4 linked regions of the Saccharomyces cerevisiae S288C genome follow. The gene in region 1 interacts genetically with each later gene. Each region holds a gene or a part of one and is shown in the gene's direction. Other genes may lie near its edges. The genes, in order: MUD2, CBC2, MUD1 and IST3.

Evidence for each region.
Region 2: mutations in MUD2 (region 1) and CBC2 together harm fitness more than expected from each alone (negative genetic interaction), as found in Saccharomyces cerevisiae (5 studies listed by BioGRID, with this or other methods).
Region 3: mutations in MUD2 (region 1) and MUD1 together harm fitness more than expected from each alone (negative genetic interaction), as found in Saccharomyces cerevisiae (5 studies listed by BioGRID, with this or other methods).
Region 4: mutations in MUD2 (region 1) and IST3 together harm fitness more than expected from each alone (negative genetic interaction), as found in Saccharomyces cerevisiae (5 studies listed by BioGRID).

What each region holds. Positions count from the first base shown.
Region 1 is NC_001143.9:292,771-298,022, reverse strand, and holds MUD2 (Mud2p), read left to right. Parts: upstream 1-1,829; coding exon 1,830-3,413; downstream 3,414-5,252. Other genes in the region: Hsp70 family chaperone LHS1, read right to left, coding at 1-1,593; AAN1 (Aan1p), read left to right, coding at 3,715-5,067. UniProt on the Saccharomyces cerevisiae protein: Splicing factor that contacts pre-mRNA directly and is a component of the pre-mRNA-U1 snRNP complex (commitment complex 2) that forms during early spliceosome assembly in yeast extracts.
Region 2 is NC_001148.4:210,047-214,274, forward strand, and holds CBC2 (nuclear cap-binding protein subunit CBC2), read left to right. Parts: upstream 1-2,111; coding exon 2,112-2,738; downstream 2,739-4,228. Other genes in the region: CUP9 (Cup9p), read right to left, coding at 2,996-3,916.
Region 3 is NC_001134.8:477,229-481,592, forward strand, and holds MUD1 (Mud1p), read left to right. Parts: upstream 1-2,109; coding exon 2,110-2,117; intron 2,118-2,206; coding exon 2,207-3,095; downstream 3,096-4,364. Other genes in the region: TEF2 (translation elongation factor EF-1 alpha), read left to right, coding at 443-1,819; CBP6 (Cbp6p), read right to left, coding at 3,207-3,695; GRS1 (glycine--tRNA ligase), read right to left, coding at 4,136-4,364. UniProt on the Saccharomyces cerevisiae protein: Involved in nuclear mRNA splicing. The principal role of the U1A is to help fold or maintain U1 RNA in an active configuration. It is the first snRNP to interact with pre-mRNA.
Region 4 is NC_001141.2:361,988-366,245, forward strand, and holds IST3 (U2 snRNP complex subunit IST3), read left to right. Parts: upstream 1-2,901; coding exon 2,902-3,348; downstream 3,349-4,258. Other genes in the region: AIM21 (Aim21p), read left to right, coding at 1-937; DJP1 (Djp1p), read left to right, coding at 1,234-2,532; actin cytoskeleton-regulatory complex protein PAN1, read right to left, coding at 3,479-4,258. UniProt on the Saccharomyces cerevisiae protein: Required for pre-mRNA splicing and spliceosome assembly. As part of the pre-mRNA retention and splicing (RES) complex, required for nuclear pre-mRNA retention and efficient splicing. Required for MER1-activated splicing.

The sequences.
Region 1 (5,252 bases):
GTCGAAAGTAATGTTATACGCAACTCCTGACGAGCACTTATCAGAGGAATATGAATTCTTTATAGCTCCTGAATTAACTGTGATAGTTTCGAACAATTTACCATTCTCAAATAAGTCAATGGTAAAATTATTAGGAATCGAATCAGTCGTGTTTGTCAAAATAGATGTTTTGTTTGGATAAGCACTTCCGCGCGTGAACACATCATACAGTTCAGATTCGTTTGATAATTTGAATGAATAAGTATTTACAGAACGGTCAACAACATTTAACGGCTTGGTCTTAAACGAATTAGATAACTTGATCCCTCTCATAACAACACCATTCACAGCTGATTCATCAGCATTGACATTTCTCAACACTTTTTCTTCGGATACGAGTTTGATTAATTGATCCTGCACAATGGGAATTCGGGAAGAGCCTCCCGCCAAAATGACCCCATTTATCTCAGGTAAATTTGTTCCATAGCCACCGAATTGTTTTGTAACAGCGTCATTTATGGGTTTGACAATGTCCAATAACGAGTCTGCAATAAATTCTTCGAATTCCTGTCTAGTTATAGAAGTACGGAAATCAATATCGTTGATCAGTGATTCTATGTTAATACTTGCCTCAGAATTGGCGCTTAAAATTAACTTTGCCTTCTCTGCTGCTTGGTTGATTTTTGCTAAGGCCTTGGGATTAGCGTGCAATTCATCAGTTCTTATGGCTGGGTGTGTTTCCAAAAACTTATTCTCTATCAAACTGCCAATATCCATTGTAAACTTTGCACCACCTAGATGTGGATTATACCCATATCCTTCAAATTCTATTGTAACGGGCTGAGTAGTGTCCTCCGGCTGCAATATAGAGAACATTGAGGCCTTAATAGAACCGCTCCCCATGTCATATACGATATAATGCTGCTGTTCACCTGGTGGAAATTGGCGCTGCTTTAATACAAAGTTAACTGCAACAGACATCCCTTCACTAACCAGATATGTCTCTTCGATTCCTGTGGTTATTGAACTGGCATCTAAAAGTGCTTTCCTTTGATGTTGGTCAAAAAAGTCAGGAATTGTAAAACTCATCTTGTTTACAAAGTCCTCAGTTCTTGCATCTCTATCCTTCAACAGTGAATTGGCTCTATTGGCAATCTCTTGGACATTCATTGCCACTAACTCTTCCAATGGATATTCCACATTATCAACTAAAAAGGCTATGGTACTTCTATTTGTTGATACCATTTCTAAACCGGGGTGTTGTTTTGAATACAAAGTTACAGTGGTTTCATCTTCTAGTGATTTCCCAAGTAGCGGTTTCAAATGCAACAATGTGTTTTGGGGAAACCTTGTTGCTAAACTGCCAACAGCGGAACCGTAGATTCTTTCAATCCCATTCGGATCATCCTTTCCATAACCTGGTAATCTTTTTATCGAAAGACCAGATATCTCCTTCCGTTTTGCCTCTGGTGTGAGCACAAGTTCTAATGGGGCTTGCGGAGAAACCACAATGGCCTTGATATTTTGCTGACCGTAATCAACACCTAAAACGGCTGCTAAAGACCCTATAGCAACAAAAGCTGTTAAAAATAAAAGCCTTAAAACGTTTCGCATGGTAATATGCGTACTTATTTGCACTAATAATGCCAGAATACTGCAGGAGCGATACTGTTAATATTACGCTGTAGAATGGATCACTTTTATAACAGCGTGTTCGATATTATATATTTGAGGCGCGCGCCTAATTAGCAAGTGCTGAAAAAATTCGAGATGAGAAATTAAACTGTACATGCTAATATAAAAGAAGTAGAAAAGGAAAGTTAATTGACACAGAAAACAAGCACACGGAGATGGCTGATGAAAAGAGACTGGAGGATTTGAGATCCAAAATAATGGAGTCTATAGGAAAATCAGAAAAGGATGTTGTGCCGATTGAGAACAAAAGATTCAACACGGATAATGCAGTTATAGATACACATTTTAAGAGGCAAAAAAGTGACGGTGAGCTTCCGAAAGCGCCAAAAAGTAGAAACGTTTCACATTCTAATAACAGAGGACCATCGTCAATAATTACTATGAGCACGAATCGAACGACTTATGAACAAACAAGGGCAGGTCCTCATCGTCAAAGTTATCGGGATGCATCGGGAAGATCATATAACAGGGAGAATCGGTATAGTAGTCACAATACTGGGCCCCAATGGAACAACAATCCCTATAATAGGCAACGGGATGAAAGAAGAGGAAGAAATGAAAGGTTCGATAGAAGGGGAAGAAATGGAAACGGAAACTACGATCGTTTCAATTACCAAAGGAAGAACGAAGGTTCTAAATTCAATGGCGACCGTGATAAAAGGCAGTTGCAAACTAATAAATATGACATGAACTATAATTCCCAAAATGTAATGTACCCGGGTTCATCATTCGATTCTCCGGCTTACTACAACATGGCCTCATCCAAGGCAAATTCAAGGCTTGTAATTTCGGGCTTGTCTCAAAGCAGCGACCCCAGCATTGTAGCAAGATTGAAAGATTTGCTGGAAAATTTTATTTCAGGTCTCCAGAAAACTGAGAGTAATGCGGAGGACTTTAAAATTTCCAACTTTTATATTGGTGAAGGAAGGCCGGACCATATTATTGTTGAGTTTAGTTCTCAGATCTGTAGCACTATGGTTTTGGCCTGTCGATCATTCTTTAATGCGAAGCTTGGTACTTTCGACTTAAAATGGAGAAGACCTAATGATTATGTTCAACAACTTGATCATCTGGTCGATTTTTGCAGGGGTACGGTAATTGCATTGGAAAATTTGGAAAATATAGGCGAGGGTGAAGATTATAGAATGAAAGAGCTTTTTTCGTCATTGAATGTAACAAACGGTACCGCTAAGCCACTTTTTTACAAATGTTCGTCCAATACAAACAACACTGGCAAAGAATCCGAATTCACTAAATGTATTCTATTATCGTTTGAAGTCGTCACTCAGGATATTCTTGATAAATTAAAACCATACAAATGGTTCAAGCCAAATGATGGAAAGATATCACAAGTTACTTCATGGATTACGTTTCAAAGCCTGCCAAATCTGGTTACCCAATCTGTTCGTGTTGAATCGAGAGTTTTGTTGCTCTTAAATTGTCTTGATCCATTGGATTTGAAAGATGAAACCTTTATCACAGAAATTAAAGAAACATTAAAGTATAGTATCGCGGGAGCAGATACGATTAAAATATGCCAACCCGGCGTCGATTACAGACTTAATTTTGAAAACTTGGCTTCCGGAGCCGGTAATATTTATATCAAGTTCAAGACCTTGGAGGCAGCAAAACACGCAATGGAAGAATTGCCGGGTACGCAATTCAACGATCGCACTGTTCTGTGTACTTATATAGATGAGGACGACTTTGACATGATGGAAGCAACCCAACTTTCCTAAATGGTCTATTTTGTAGAGCGAAATTAAGTAAAGAATTGAGTATTCATTATGTAGATCTAATCTTTAACGCAGTGAAAAAAGTCCTCGTTTTTGGTGACTTTTTTTGTACAATTACTTTTTTGAAATATAACGAAAGTTAGCAGATTGACTACTAACTTGCGATCTGGAAAATTAAGAGAATTCAAACTTTTTTTGTTGCATGGGTCAATAATCATCATTAGAGCTTGCCTTGATCAATTTCCTTCACATTTTTGGAATAACTAACATTATAAATCAAGCCTAGTATAGCGCGCCAAAGAAGATGGCTAAAGATTTATTGCCCAAGCAAGCGGCCAACGAGCCATCGTTAAAGGACTGTACCTGTAAAAGATGTCTTAAATTGGGTGCTTCAAAAGAAAAAAAGATTAGAAGAAAGAAGAAAGGTGAGGAGAAAAGAGAAAGACATTATGGAAATAGACGAAAGTTAACATTCAACTTTTTGAAGCATACGAACATGGAAAATACAAATTACGACGTAATCACTTCGGTTGGATATCTGAATGAAAAATACGGATTGAAAAAATCACATTACATTGAAAAATTTATCAAATGCATCCATAGAAAAATAAATATCGATGTTAGCAAAATTACGGACGCCTATGTAAACTCGCTAAACCCGTGGGTTAAAGTAAAACTCTTCCTTTTATTGGTGACATTGTCTGAAAAGGGTGGTCCGGAATACTGGCTAGATAAGACAGATGGTGAAAAGAACTCAGAGGCGTCTTCAACAGATAATAGTTTGGAAAATTCTACTAAAGGAGCAGATAGCGCTGGATCTACTGCTTTGAGAGATGAAATGGTCAAAAGCCATAAAAACCTTTTCCCAACTCTTACAGAGCAAATCATACAGCATAACATCAACCAAGATTTTACGGAATCGACTTACGACGAGGATTATGTATTTTCGTCAATTTGGGCAAACTTCATGGAAGGACTGATCAATCACTATTTGGAAAAAGTCATTGTACCTTACTCGGAAATGAAAGTCTGTCAGCAATTATACAAGCCTATGATGAAAATTATCTCCCTCTATAACGAATACAATGAGCTTATGGTCAAAAGCGAAAAGAACGGATTCTTGCCTTCTCTACAAGACTCCGAAAATGTCCAAGGTGATAAAGGCGAAAAAGAGAGCAAGGATGATGCCGTTAGCCAAGAAAGACTGGAAAGAGCGCAAAAGCTGTTATGGCAAGCTCGAGAAGATATTCCAAAAACAATTAGCAAAGAATTAACGTTGTTATCAGAAATGTATTCTACATTATCTGCTGATGAGCAAGATTACGAATTAGATGAATTTGTTTGTTGCGCAGAGGAGTACATTGAATTGGAATACCTACCTGCCCTTGTAGATGTCTTGTTTGCTAATTGTGGCACGAACAACTTCTGGAAAATTATGTTGGTGTTGGAACCCTTTTTCTACTACATTGAAGACGTCGGCGGAGATGATGATGAAGATGAAGATAATGTGGACAATAGCGAGGGCGACGAAGAAAGCTTACTTAGCAGGAATGTGGAAGGAGATGATAATGTGGTTGAGCGTCATTTTAAGCCTGATCCAAGGGTCATTACACTGGAAAAAATATGTGAAGTTGCTGCAAGACAGAAATGGATATAAGGAGAAATCAAAGGAAAAGAAGCAAGATCCAGCGTTTTCTTTTGAACCCTGGAGGATGCTGATGCATTCTCTATTTATTTGGTATCAAATTGTCGTACAGATGATTTATATATGTTAATATTGTTCAGTTTACACTAATTTTAATTTACCGTATTTACTATCCAAAGGAGAAAAAAAGAAGTATA
Region 2 (4,228 bases), on another chromosome or scaffold:
TTTACCTTTGATATGCAATCATATTATTCTTCCCTCCATTATGGCTAAATAAATGATAATTATAATCTATAGTTTTCAAGCGTTCATATTTTGACAGATAAGATTATGCAACAACTTGGAAGGGCGGAAGGAAGCAAAAAGAAAACTCCGATACGGGGAGTCGAACCCCGGTCTCCACGGTGAAAGCGTGATGTGATAGCCGTTACACTATATCGGACAATAATTGGACAGAAAATTTTGTTAAAGTGTCAGCCTAATCGGCGTAATACGTATATATGTATATTATCTGCATATTATTACGATAATATACAACAAAACGGATTAAAACAATCGGTATATTTCAATTTGATATTTGGGATAAGGTAAAATAAAAACCGAAGATCAGTAAGCTCTTGTTACTTTTTTGTTGGAATAGAGGATCAAGAAGCATTTATTGCTAGTATCCAAATTATTAGTATATCATCATGTTTTCAAAAAAAAATGATGTAAAAATTGAGAAACAGTCACCAGTCATCATGAAAAGTGCACTGCAAGGATTAATAACGTAATAAAACAAGAACGACAGTACATAAACGAAAGAAGAGATAACTATATTATTGTATAGAATTATCGATTCTCTTTTAGAATTCTTTTATTCTCCAGGAAAACTACTTGTACATTCTGTTTAGCTAATATTGTAGCCTTTAACCACAATAAAATGCACTCCAAGTATAACCCAAAATTCATTGTTTTCAAATTTATATTAATGAGATATTGGTAACCTAAACATCAAAAATATTTTTACTCAAATTCTCTTTTCTGAAAACGCTGAAGGAAATGTGCAGGAAAAATGTTTGGCCATCAACTTTTATTCCTAGTACCACAACTAACGTCACATTCTATCGAGGCAAATGCTAATTGGCAACTAACACTATCTTAACGGTTTGATAATGTCAACACAAAATTCACCTATTATTACAAACGAATCTACCGGAAGTTGAAATGCCTGACAATAATCATACAATTGCATGAATAATTGCGAACAGATGGCAGCAAAGGATGAACTAATCATAATTATACATTGCCGCTGTAGGTTTCCTCCCATAAAAATCCAAATTTCCAAGAAAAAGTTCTTGTGTCTTCATACACTTAATATTGTTATCCTTCTTCAAGACCGGACTATATAAAGAAAAAATTTTGTAATGCTATTATATTTCAACTTCAAATTATTTTCTACTAGTAGACATAATGGAACTTCGCTCTCAGATAATCTATGGCGATAGATGGACAATTGACAATCTTCTGAAAGAATTTATATAATAAGATGTGACCATGACCTAAACCTGCTCACGCTCATGAAAGGATACAGGTAATTTGGCGAAACATTCCCAAGCTTCGCTGATAGACCTATCCCAGAAAGTGTCTGTTTAAAACTACAAGTATTTGCAGTTTTCGTTATCCAGTTTCGTTCAAGAGCATTAATGCACAAGCCACTTATATTATATAAATTTAAACTTTGGGAAAATATCATACACCTATTGTACCAGTAAATGTTGGAATAAAAATCAACTATCATCTACTAACTAGTATTTACGTTACTAGTATATTATCATATACGGTGTTAGAAGATGACACAAATGATGAGAAATAGTCATCTAAATTAGTGGAAGCTGAAACGCAAGGATTGATAATGTAATAGGATCAATGAATATTAACATATAAAATGATGATAATAATATTTATAGAATTGTGTAGAATTGCAGATTCCCTTTCATGGATTCCTAAATCCTTGAGGAGAACTTCTAGTATATCTATATACCTAATATTATAGCCTTAATCACAATGGAATCCCAACAATTACATCAAAATCCACATTGTCTACAGTAAAAGTATACCACTAATAGATTTGTAATTGGTGTATGAAGTAGTGTATGGTATAAACGTTAATAAGTGCTTATCAAAGTATTACCCGCTTTAACAGTTTTTGTGTTTTTTTCAAGAAAAATATTATATGTATGAATATAGAACATGAGTTTATATGGAGAAAGTGTCTCGACAGCTTTTAAAGTCCCGAAAGGACTAATATCGAATAAAAGTTGCATCCATTAATATACCAATAAATAAAGGGAAAGATGTCCCTGGAAGAATTTGACGAAGTTAAATATGATCATTCAACTAAACGCCTAGATACACCATCAAGGTACCTGCTGCGCAAGGCTAGAAGAAACCCTAACGGGCTACAAGAACTGCGTGAGTCGATGAAGTCATCCACAATTTATGTAGGAAATCTTTCCTTTTATACATCAGAAGAACAAATTTACGAATTATTCAGTAAATGTGGCACAATAAAAAGAATAATTATGGGTTTGGACCGTTTTAAGTTCACGCCATGTGGCTTCTGTTTTATTATATATAGTTGTCCAGATGAAGCATTGAATGCCTTAAAATATTTGTCCGATACAAAGTTAGACGAAAAGACAATTACCATTGATCTAGATCCTGGTTTTGAAGATGGAAGACAGTTTGGTCGTGGTAAGAGCGGTGGTCAAGTCAGCGATGAATTGAGGTTCGATTTTGATGCATCCAGAGGTGGCTTCGCCATTCCATTTGCAGAGCGTGTCGGCGTACCACATTCCAGATTTGATAACAGTAGCTCACAATCTAATACGAATAATTATATCCCTCCTCCTGATGCAATGGGTACTTTCAGACCAGGTTTCGATGAAGAAAGAGAAGATGATAACTACGTACCTCAGTAGAATCAATCAATTTATATCTGAGAAAGATTCTACACACAGATATATATATATATATATATATTATTGTATATATACATACCTACATTATTTTTAAAGGCTTGCATGATGCTGTTATGTAAAAAAAAAAAAAAAAAATCAGTGTAACATAATAGACGTAACACGTTCAATGACATGATAATACTATATATAGTAACGATAAAATGTAAATGGTAATAGATATAATTATATGAATATTTAAGTAATGCATTGATAAGTGATCAATTCATATCAGGGTTGGATAGCTTTTTCAATTCTTCCAGCCTATCAATTAGTTTTTTACGGCGTGTAACGGGGGCATGAGCAAATCTCTTGGATAATTCATAATCCGTGGAGCAGGTTGACGTAGCATCGTACATAGTATTATTTGTGGCAGATAATGTGTTATGATATGCTGAGACGTTTTGAACTCGTTCCACTGGGGTATTATTCGCGTTGTCATTAGGAATTGAGTTTACCAGGGTATAGTAATCACTAAATATTTTGCGTCTTCTCACATTTATGAACCAATTAGAAAGTTGAATCTTGGTTAGCCCAGTTTTGATTAACAACTCCCTCTTTTCTTGTTGAGTTGGGTAGGGGTTATTCAGGTGGTTCAGCAACCAAGTATTCAGTATCTGCACTGTTTCCTTTGGCAGGTTAGACCTCCTGCCCGAATTTTGCTTCCTCCTTGATTTAGATTCTACAAAATCCGAAAATGGCCTGTTGTATTGTGCCCCCGCATCCTTTTCCTTATTGATTATTTCATATATTGGGGCGGATTTGTAGCAGGGCTTTGCATCATCGGACGCCGATTTTGACTTCTTTGAACTGCCATATTGAGATTGTGTATCCATAGCACTGCTACTCGTCTTGGACGTTTCAACTGTAGAAGCAGTAGGAGTAGCAGTAGTACTAGTACCGCCAGAATTAATTGCGGGATACGCAATCGAATGATGCTGTGGAAGTAACACAGGCGCAGGATAGTTTTGTTCCTCGGTACTAGACCGAAGGTTCCCATGCGAGTATTCTATGTTCGAAAATGCCAACTCGGGCATACTCCGTTTTTCTATGGAGTTAAATAGAACTTGGATAGGGGGTAGACTGACTTGATTGTCAACATTCTTACTGTTCCTGTTTTGTATTTCGCAGTTATAATTCATCTTCGAATGTAACTATTCTCGAAGGTTGTTAGCATAAAAGTAGGGGCTCGGCAAGTAGCGATCAGTAGCACTGGATAGGCGTGGTATCGCTTGAAAACAAGGGTGGGAAGATCAACTAAAAAATTGTATTAGTATATATCTTGACCAATTTAACATAATCTTACCAATTAACAGAAACAGGAGGCATTAAGAGACAAGAAAACGCCGGGCGCGACGAAATCAGTCATAGAAAATTAATCATTAATATATACACGCTGTAAGAAAACAAAAGGACAAAAATTAATTACCAAAAGAAAAAAACAAACTACAGCT
Region 3 (4,364 bases), on another chromosome or scaffold:
ATGTTGCACCCACACATTTATACACCCAGACCGCGACAAATTACCCATAAGGTTGTTTGTGACGGCGTCGTACAAGAGAACGTGGGAACTTTTTAGGCTCACCAAAAAAGAAAGAAAAAATACGAGTTGCTGACAGAAGCCTCAAGAAAAAAAAAATTCTTCTTCGACTATGCTGGAGGCAGAGATGATCGAGCCGGTAGTTAACTATATATAGCTAAATTGGTTCCATCACCTTCTTTTCTGGTGTCGCTCCTTCTAGTGCTATTTCTGGCTTTTCCTATTTTTTTTTTTCCATTTTTCTTTCTCTCTTTCTAATATATAAATTCTCTTGCATTTTCTATTTTTCTCTCTATCTATTCTACTTGTTTATTCCCTTCAAGGTTTTTTTTTAAGGAGTACTTGTTTTTAGAATATACGGTCAACGAACTATAATTAACTAAACATGGGTAAAGAGAAGTCTCACATTAACGTTGTCGTTATCGGTCATGTCGATTCTGGTAAGTCTACCACTACCGGTCATTTGATTTACAAGTGTGGTGGTATTGACAAGAGAACCATCGAAAAGTTCGAAAAGGAAGCCGCTGAATTAGGTAAGGGTTCTTTCAAGTACGCTTGGGTTTTGGACAAGTTAAAGGCTGAAAGAGAAAGAGGTATCACTATCGATATTGCTTTGTGGAAGTTCGAAACTCCAAAGTACCAAGTTACCGTTATTGATGCTCCAGGTCACAGAGATTTCATCAAGAACATGATTACTGGTACTTCTCAAGCTGACTGTGCTATCTTGATTATTGCTGGTGGTGTCGGTGAATTCGAAGCCGGTATCTCTAAGGATGGTCAAACCAGAGAACACGCTTTGTTGGCTTTCACCTTGGGTGTTAGACAATTGATTGTTGCTGTCAACAAGATGGACTCCGTCAAATGGGACGAATCCAGATTCCAAGAAATTGTCAAGGAAACCTCCAACTTTATCAAGAAGGTTGGTTACAACCCAAAGACTGTTCCATTCGTCCCAATCTCTGGTTGGAACGGTGACAACATGATTGAAGCTACCACCAACGCTCCATGGTACAAGGGTTGGGAAAAGGAAACCAAGGCCGGTGTCGTCAAGGGTAAGACTTTGTTGGAAGCCATTGACGCCATTGAACAACCATCTAGACCAACTGACAAGCCATTGAGATTGCCATTGCAAGATGTTTACAAGATCGGTGGTATTGGTACTGTGCCAGTCGGTAGAGTTGAAACCGGTGTCATCAAGCCAGGTATGGTTGTTACTTTCGCCCCAGCTGGTGTTACCACTGAAGTCAAGTCCGTTGAAATGCATCACGAACAATTGGAACAAGGTGTTCCAGGTGACAACGTTGGTTTCAACGTCAAGAACGTTTCCGTTAAGGAAATCAGAAGAGGTAACGTCTGTGGTGACGCTAAGAACGATCCACCAAAGGGTTGCGCTTCTTTCAACGCTACCGTCATTGTTTTGAACCATCCAGGTCAAATCTCTGCTGGTTACTCTCCAGTTTTGGATTGTCACACTGCTCACATTGCTTGTAGATTCGACGAATTGTTGGAAAAGAACGACAGAAGATCTGGTAAGAAGTTGGAAGACCATCCAAAGTTCTTGAAGTCCGGTGACGCTGCTTTGGTCAAGTTCGTTCCATCTAAGCCAATGTGTGTTGAAGCTTTCAGTGAATACCCACCATTAGGTAGATTCGCTGTCAGAGACATGAGACAAACTGTCGCTGTCGGTGTTATCAAGTCTGTTGACAAGACTGAAAAGGCCGCTAAGGTTACCAAGGCTGCTCAAAAGGCTGCTAAGAAATAAGAGTAATAATTATTGCTTCCATATAATATTTTTATATACCTCTTATTTTTATGTATTAGTTAATTAAGTATTTTTATCTATCTGCTTATCATTTTCTTTTCATATAGGGGGGGTTGGTGTTTTCTTGCCCATCAGATTGATGTCCTCCAACTCGGCACTATTTTACAAAGGGTTTTTTTGTAAGAGAAGGAGAAGACAGATACTAAACCATACGTTACTCGAAACAAAAAAAAAAAAAATGGAAAAAGCTGCTATCAACAAAAGACGGCCTCATCAAACCTAAAGAAACCATGTCAGCGTATGTATATACCTTGTAATTTACGTTTCCTTAAATCTTCTTTCTACTAACGTTTTCATTATTCTATACTCTATGACCAATAAAAACAGACTGTACTTTCAAAATTTACCCAGTAGGCCAGCAAATAAAGAAAATTATACCAGATTACTTCTGAAACACATTAATCCCAACAACAAGTATGCCATTAATCCGTCGCTACCCCTTCCCCACAATAAATTACAAATATCATCACAACCGCTGATGTTACTAGATGATCAAATGGGCCTTCTTGAAGTTTCTATTTCAAGATCATCAAAGATGACTAACCAAGCATTTTTAACGTTTGTCACTCAAGAAGAAGCAGACCGGTTTCTAGAAAAATACACGACAACAGCATTAAAAGTTCAAGGTCGTAAAGTGAGAATGGGAAAGGCTCGAACAAATTCGTTATTGGGTCTTTCAATAGAAATGCAAAAAAAAAAAGGTAATGACGAAACGTACAACCTTGATATAAAGAAGGTGCTTAAAGCAAGGAAACTTAAACGCAAGTTACGTAGTGATGATATATGCGCCAAAAAGTTCAGGCTTAAAAGGCAAATAAGACGCCTGAAGCATAAGCTGAGATCAAGAAAGGTAGAGGAGGCTGAGATTGATAGGATTGTAAAAGAATTTGAAACCCGTAGATTGGAAAACATGAAGTCTCAGCAAGAAAATCTAAAACAATCGCAGAAACCTCTTAAGCGGGCTAAAGTGTCCAATACAATGGAAAATCCACCGAACAAAGTCCTTCTTATACAAAATTTGCCAAGCGGCACTACCGAGCAATTATTGTCGCAAATACTTGGCAATGAGGCTTTAGTTGAAATCAGATTAGTTAGCGTTCGTAACCTAGCTTTCGTGGAATACGAGACCGTTGCTGATGCTACGAAAATCAAGAATCAGTTAGGCTCCACTTACAAGCTACAAAACAATGACGTTACCATAGGATTTGCTAAGTAGAATTTCCTTTGCGGAAGTATACCTCGAGTAAAGAAATTCACAGATAAATTTGAATAACGTTCTCCATTATGAATAAATATGTATTTACAAGCTTAGAAAATAATGTGCTCTTTATTTACCAAATAATACAGTTCTCATTGCAGTAAATAAGCTTTCCTTTTTCTTACCGTCAACGGCATTTATTAACCGTTGATAATATTGGGGATTTCCTGCAGGTTTATAGAGCTTATCGCCAATATCGTAATAGTTTCTGAATTTATTATTCATTATAGTGCTCAAGGCACGAATTTGCTCGTTGATGCTTTCTTCCGTGAATTTCTCATCTACCATTTTATTTTGAATTTTGGTTAACATCTCCTTATTCAGTCCTAATGGACCGGAAGTTCTGTTAATTATACTTTTTATTTCATCTAATGAGGGTTTTTTCTCTTTTATAGATTTTCCTTTGTCATCTACATTTGGCAGACCCGCTACACGTCTAAATCTTGCTATTTGTACATCCCTGAATGAGACCAAGTGGTGTATACGATCCTTTGGATATTTTTCCAGTAAATTAACTAATTTTTTGGCAGAATCCCTGACGACCTGGGAAGAAGACATTTTGGCACTTGCTTGTGGAATACGGAGTTTAACTTGGTAAGCTGATAGAGAGAATGTTTCAATGAAGGCTACCTTTTTTTCTTATAATGTTGCTACCACAGGAAATCTTGATATACGTTAATGTTTTGGCCCCTACAAGGCCGGAAATATTTCGCTTTTTCTTGATATCAGAATTTTTCGCATGTCCGACCATGCGCAGAGCTGCTATGAAAGTACTTTAACTATTAGTGTGAGGAATGGCTAAATAAACAGCAGATGTGATTTCCGCACTTCTTTTATAAACTTCCAAAATAATCGTATTAGTGGACAGTACATAATCATATCTTGCAATACGTATCAATAGTAAACGAATTATTTATTCATACACACATGTATATACTTCTCGCTTCTTTTTTTAATTTACATGTTTGGCGATATATAGTTAAAATTAAGTCATTTATTTAGTCAGTTTCAGCTTCAGCTTCAGCTTGGGCAATAAAAGGAGTCAAATCCTTGGTACCTTCTTCCCAAGAAGCACCATTGTAAGTGATATCGCGGATAGCCTTGATGACATTTTCGACGGAACCTCTAACTTGCTTGGTGGAATCTCTTTCTCTCAAAGTGACAGAATGGTCTTTGGCAGATTCAAAGTCAATGGTGACACCGAATGGAGTACCTAATTCGTCATTA
Region 4 (4,258 bases), on another chromosome or scaffold:
TAGTACCGAAGAGGAAAGTAAAATCCCAAAAATTCCCTCTGAAAGACCAAAGAGACGTGCCCCACCTCCGGTTCCCAAAAAACCTTCTTCAAGAATTGCGGCCTTTCAAGAAATGTTACAAAAACAACAGCAACAAGATCTGCATAATAATGGTAATTCTTCAGCTACTACCGCTTCAGCAGATATTGCTAAAAAACACACAGATTCTTCTATTACTAGCGATACCACGAAGGCAGATTTTACGAGCAAATTGAATGGACTGTTTGCGCTACCTGGTATGGTGAACCCTGGACAGCTTCCACCTTCCTTGGAGAAGAAGTTGTCCTCCCCGGATACTGAATCTAAGCTAGGACCCCAGGACCAATCACAGGCAAAAACGGGACCTCTGGGCGGAACTAGAAGAGGTAGAGGACCTCGTGGGCGTAAATTACCTTCTAAAGTAGCTAGCGTAGAGAAGATTGAAGAAGATGACAACACTAATAAAATAGAAATATTTAACAATTGGAATGTTTCCTCTTCCTTCTCTAAGGAAAAAGTCTTAATAGATACTACTCCTGGTGAGCAAGCAGAAAGGGCCTTGGATGAAAAGTCAAAGAGCATTCCCGAGGAACAACGAGAACAATCTCCAAATAAGATGGAGGCTGCTCTTTGTCCTTTTGAGCTGGACGAAAAGGAAAAGTTACCTGCTAATGCTGAGTCGGATCCTCTTTCTCAGTTGCCACAGACGAACGCCGTAGGTAATAGAAAAGCCATAAGTGAGGAATCTCTGTCCCCATCGGAGGCCATCGCCAACAGAGATCAAAACGATACGACAGAAATACAGGAACAGCAGATGGAGGACCAAATGGAGGTTGATATGGAAAGAGAACTCTCAGGTGGCTACGAAGACGTTGATTCTGCCTTACATTCAGAAGAAGCGTCTTTTCACTCCCTTTAGAATCTTATAAATAATATGTATGAATAAACTCTATAGTATGTATCAAGAGAGAAATATGTGAATGACGAGCAAACTAGAGGTGTTATTAATAATAATGGCATAAAAACTAGATTTTATTCTATATATATATATATATATTTCTTCGACTTTTTTTTTTTTTACCCGCACACCCTGAATTTTGTGCTATTTTGAAGCAGAGCGTACTGAACAAATTGGCAGATTTACAAGAGGAATAACAGAGTTATGCTAAATCATTAAGTGTTTCTTGCGGCCAGAAGGGGCATTATACAAAAGATATGGTTGTTGATACTGAGTATTACGATTTGTTAGGTGTGTCTACCACTGCATCTTCCATTGAAATAAAAAAGGCCTATAGAAAGAAATCTATTCAAGAGCATCCTGATAAGAATCCCAATGACCCCACGGCTACCGAAAGGTTTCAAGCAATATCCGAAGCTTATCAAGTTTTAGGTGACGATGATCTTCGCGCAAAGTATGATAAGTATGGAAGAAAAGAAGCTATTCCTCAGGGCGGCTTTGAAGATGCAGCTGAACAGTTCTCTGTCATCTTTGGTGGAGATGCGTTTGCCTCATATATTGGCGAACTGATGCTATTAAAGAACCTACAGAAAACTGAGGAGCTAAATGCTGAAGACGAAGCTGAAAAGGAGAAGGAGAATGTGGAAACAATGGAAGAATCACCTGCAGACGGTAAGACGAATGGCACCACTAACGCTGTTGATGCAGCATTGGGCAATACTAACGAAAAAGATGACAAAAATAAGGCGAGGACAACTTCTGGTAATTTAACTGTACACGATGGAAACAAGAAAAATGAGCAGGTAGGAGCAGAAGCTAAGAAGAAGAAGACAAAATTAGAGCAGTTTGAGGAAGAACAAGAGGTAGAAAAGCAAAAAAGAGTAGACCAATTAAGCAAAACATTGATTGAAAGATTATCGATATTAACAGAAAGTGTCTATGATGATGCATGTAAAGATTCCTTTAAAAAAAAGTTCGAAGAGGAAGCCAATCTTTTAAAGATGGAATCATTTGGTCTGGACATATTACACACAATAGGCGACGTTTACTACGAAAAAGCTGAAATTTTTCTTGCATCCCAGAACCTGTTCGGAATGGGTGGTATATTTCATTCTATGAAGGCTAAAGGGGGAGTATTTATGGATACACTAAGAACTGTTTCGGCAGCCATAGACGCTCAGAATACTATGAAGGAGCTTGAAAAAATGAAAGAAGCTAGCACGAATAATGAGCCTTTGTTTGACAAAGACGGAAATGAGCAAATTAAGCCAACCACTGAGGAACTGGCGCAGCAAGAGCAGCTATTGATGGGCAAAGTATTGTCGGCTGCTTGGCATGGTTCTAAATATGAAATAACATCCACTTTACGTGGCGTTTGTAAAAAAGTACTAGAAGATGACTCGGTAAGTAAGAAAACGCTTATCAGAAGAGCTGAAGCAATGAAACTATTGGGTGAAGTCTTTAAGAAAACTTTCAGAACCAAAGTCGAACAAGAAGAGGCACAGATCTTTGAAGAACTTGTAGCAGAAGCTACAAAAAAGAAGAGACATACATGAAGTTAGCAATCATCTCTTGTATATTAAAAATTCAAAAATTCACTTTTTTTTATTATCTGTATTCAATATAATATAATGTATATAAGATCACACTAATACTGATAATTCTATTCTTGAAAGAAAGACAATAGAACAATAAAGAAGTGATTGAACTCAGTGACAATGATAATTTATGTGATAAGGAAGTGGTTATGGCTGGAGAATTATGCCACACTTAAATGATAAGCTCTTTTACCTTTCTGGGTTTAGGAATTTTTTGAGATTAATACAGATAAAAAAAAATAGGCCGAACATTAATTACTCATACAACTCAAAAAGTGCAGCGTGCAATTCTAGATCAAGAACATAGATAATATAAACAAAATAACAATGAACAAAATTCAGCAAATCAACGATAAAGAACTACAAAGTGGAATTCTTAGCCCGCATCAATCATGGCATAATGAATATAAGGATAATGCTTATATATATATCGGAAATCTCAACCGAGAATTAACAGAAGGTGACATATTGACAGTCTTTTCTGAATATGGAGTCCCTGTAGATGTAATTCTTAGCAGGGATGAAAACACAGGAGAATCGCAAGGTTTTGCATATTTGAAATATGAGGATCAACGGTCAACGATTCTAGCAGTCGATAATTTAAATGGATTTAAAATTGGCGGTAGAGCCCTCAAAATTGATCATACTTTTTATAGGCCAAAAAGGAGTTTACAAAAATACTATGAAGCTGTAAAGGAAGAATTGGATCGAGATATAGTTTCGAAGAACAATGCTGAGAAACTCATTTTGGCTAAAAAGGACCAACCAAATTAAATAATTTTTTCTTTCATCGCATATCTTATATTCATATAGCCTAGAAAAAAATAATCAATATCATATTTGTAATTCTACATCCTTTCAGAAATTAGTATACATACGTATCTATAGAAAGCAAATTAAATCTTCATGGAAGGGGTGGGGGTGGAGGAATACCTGCAGGTGGAATTGATGGGATACCTGCAGTAGAAACTGGTTGTGCCCCTTCTTCCTCTTCATCTGTACCAACTGATTCAGGAATCGATAAAACGTCATCATCAGAATCGGATCCATATGCGCCCGTGCCTTTTTCAGCACCATTGTAGTTATCAACGTGAGCGATAATAGGTTCTGAAGTGGAAGCTTGTTGAGTTGGTAAAGGTGGGGGTGGAGGCAAAACGCCTCCAGCTAAAGCTGGGGTGGAAGAACCCGATTTTTGCACGGCAGTAGCTATTGCAGGTGCTGAGGGAATTGGAGGTTCTTGAAAGCCATCAACAGCAGGCAAAGGGGGAGCCAACGGGACGGGTGGCTCCTGAGTAACAGAAGGTGGTATCGGAGCTATTGGAATAGGACTACTCTTTTCATTAGAGGTATTCGCCTGAGGGACAGGGACAGCAGGTGGAACAGGGGTAACAGACGGCAAGGGAGCAGCAGTAACAGGTGGAGCACGTGCATGATCAGGATGACCAATCTTTGCTTCTTCAACCTTATTATCTACAGCTACGCGGTTATTACTCTCGTCTTCATCAGACCATCCATCATCCTCGTCCTCATCCAATCCTCTTTGGATTCTTCTTTGCATTTCTGCAGCGCGAGCATCGAAAGTAGATGTAGAGCTAGCTGATGCATCCTTGAAGTATGGATTATGGCCCATTGTCGTGGAAGGCAGACCAGTACTGTTCTTACCTGCGGCAGGGGTAACAGCAGC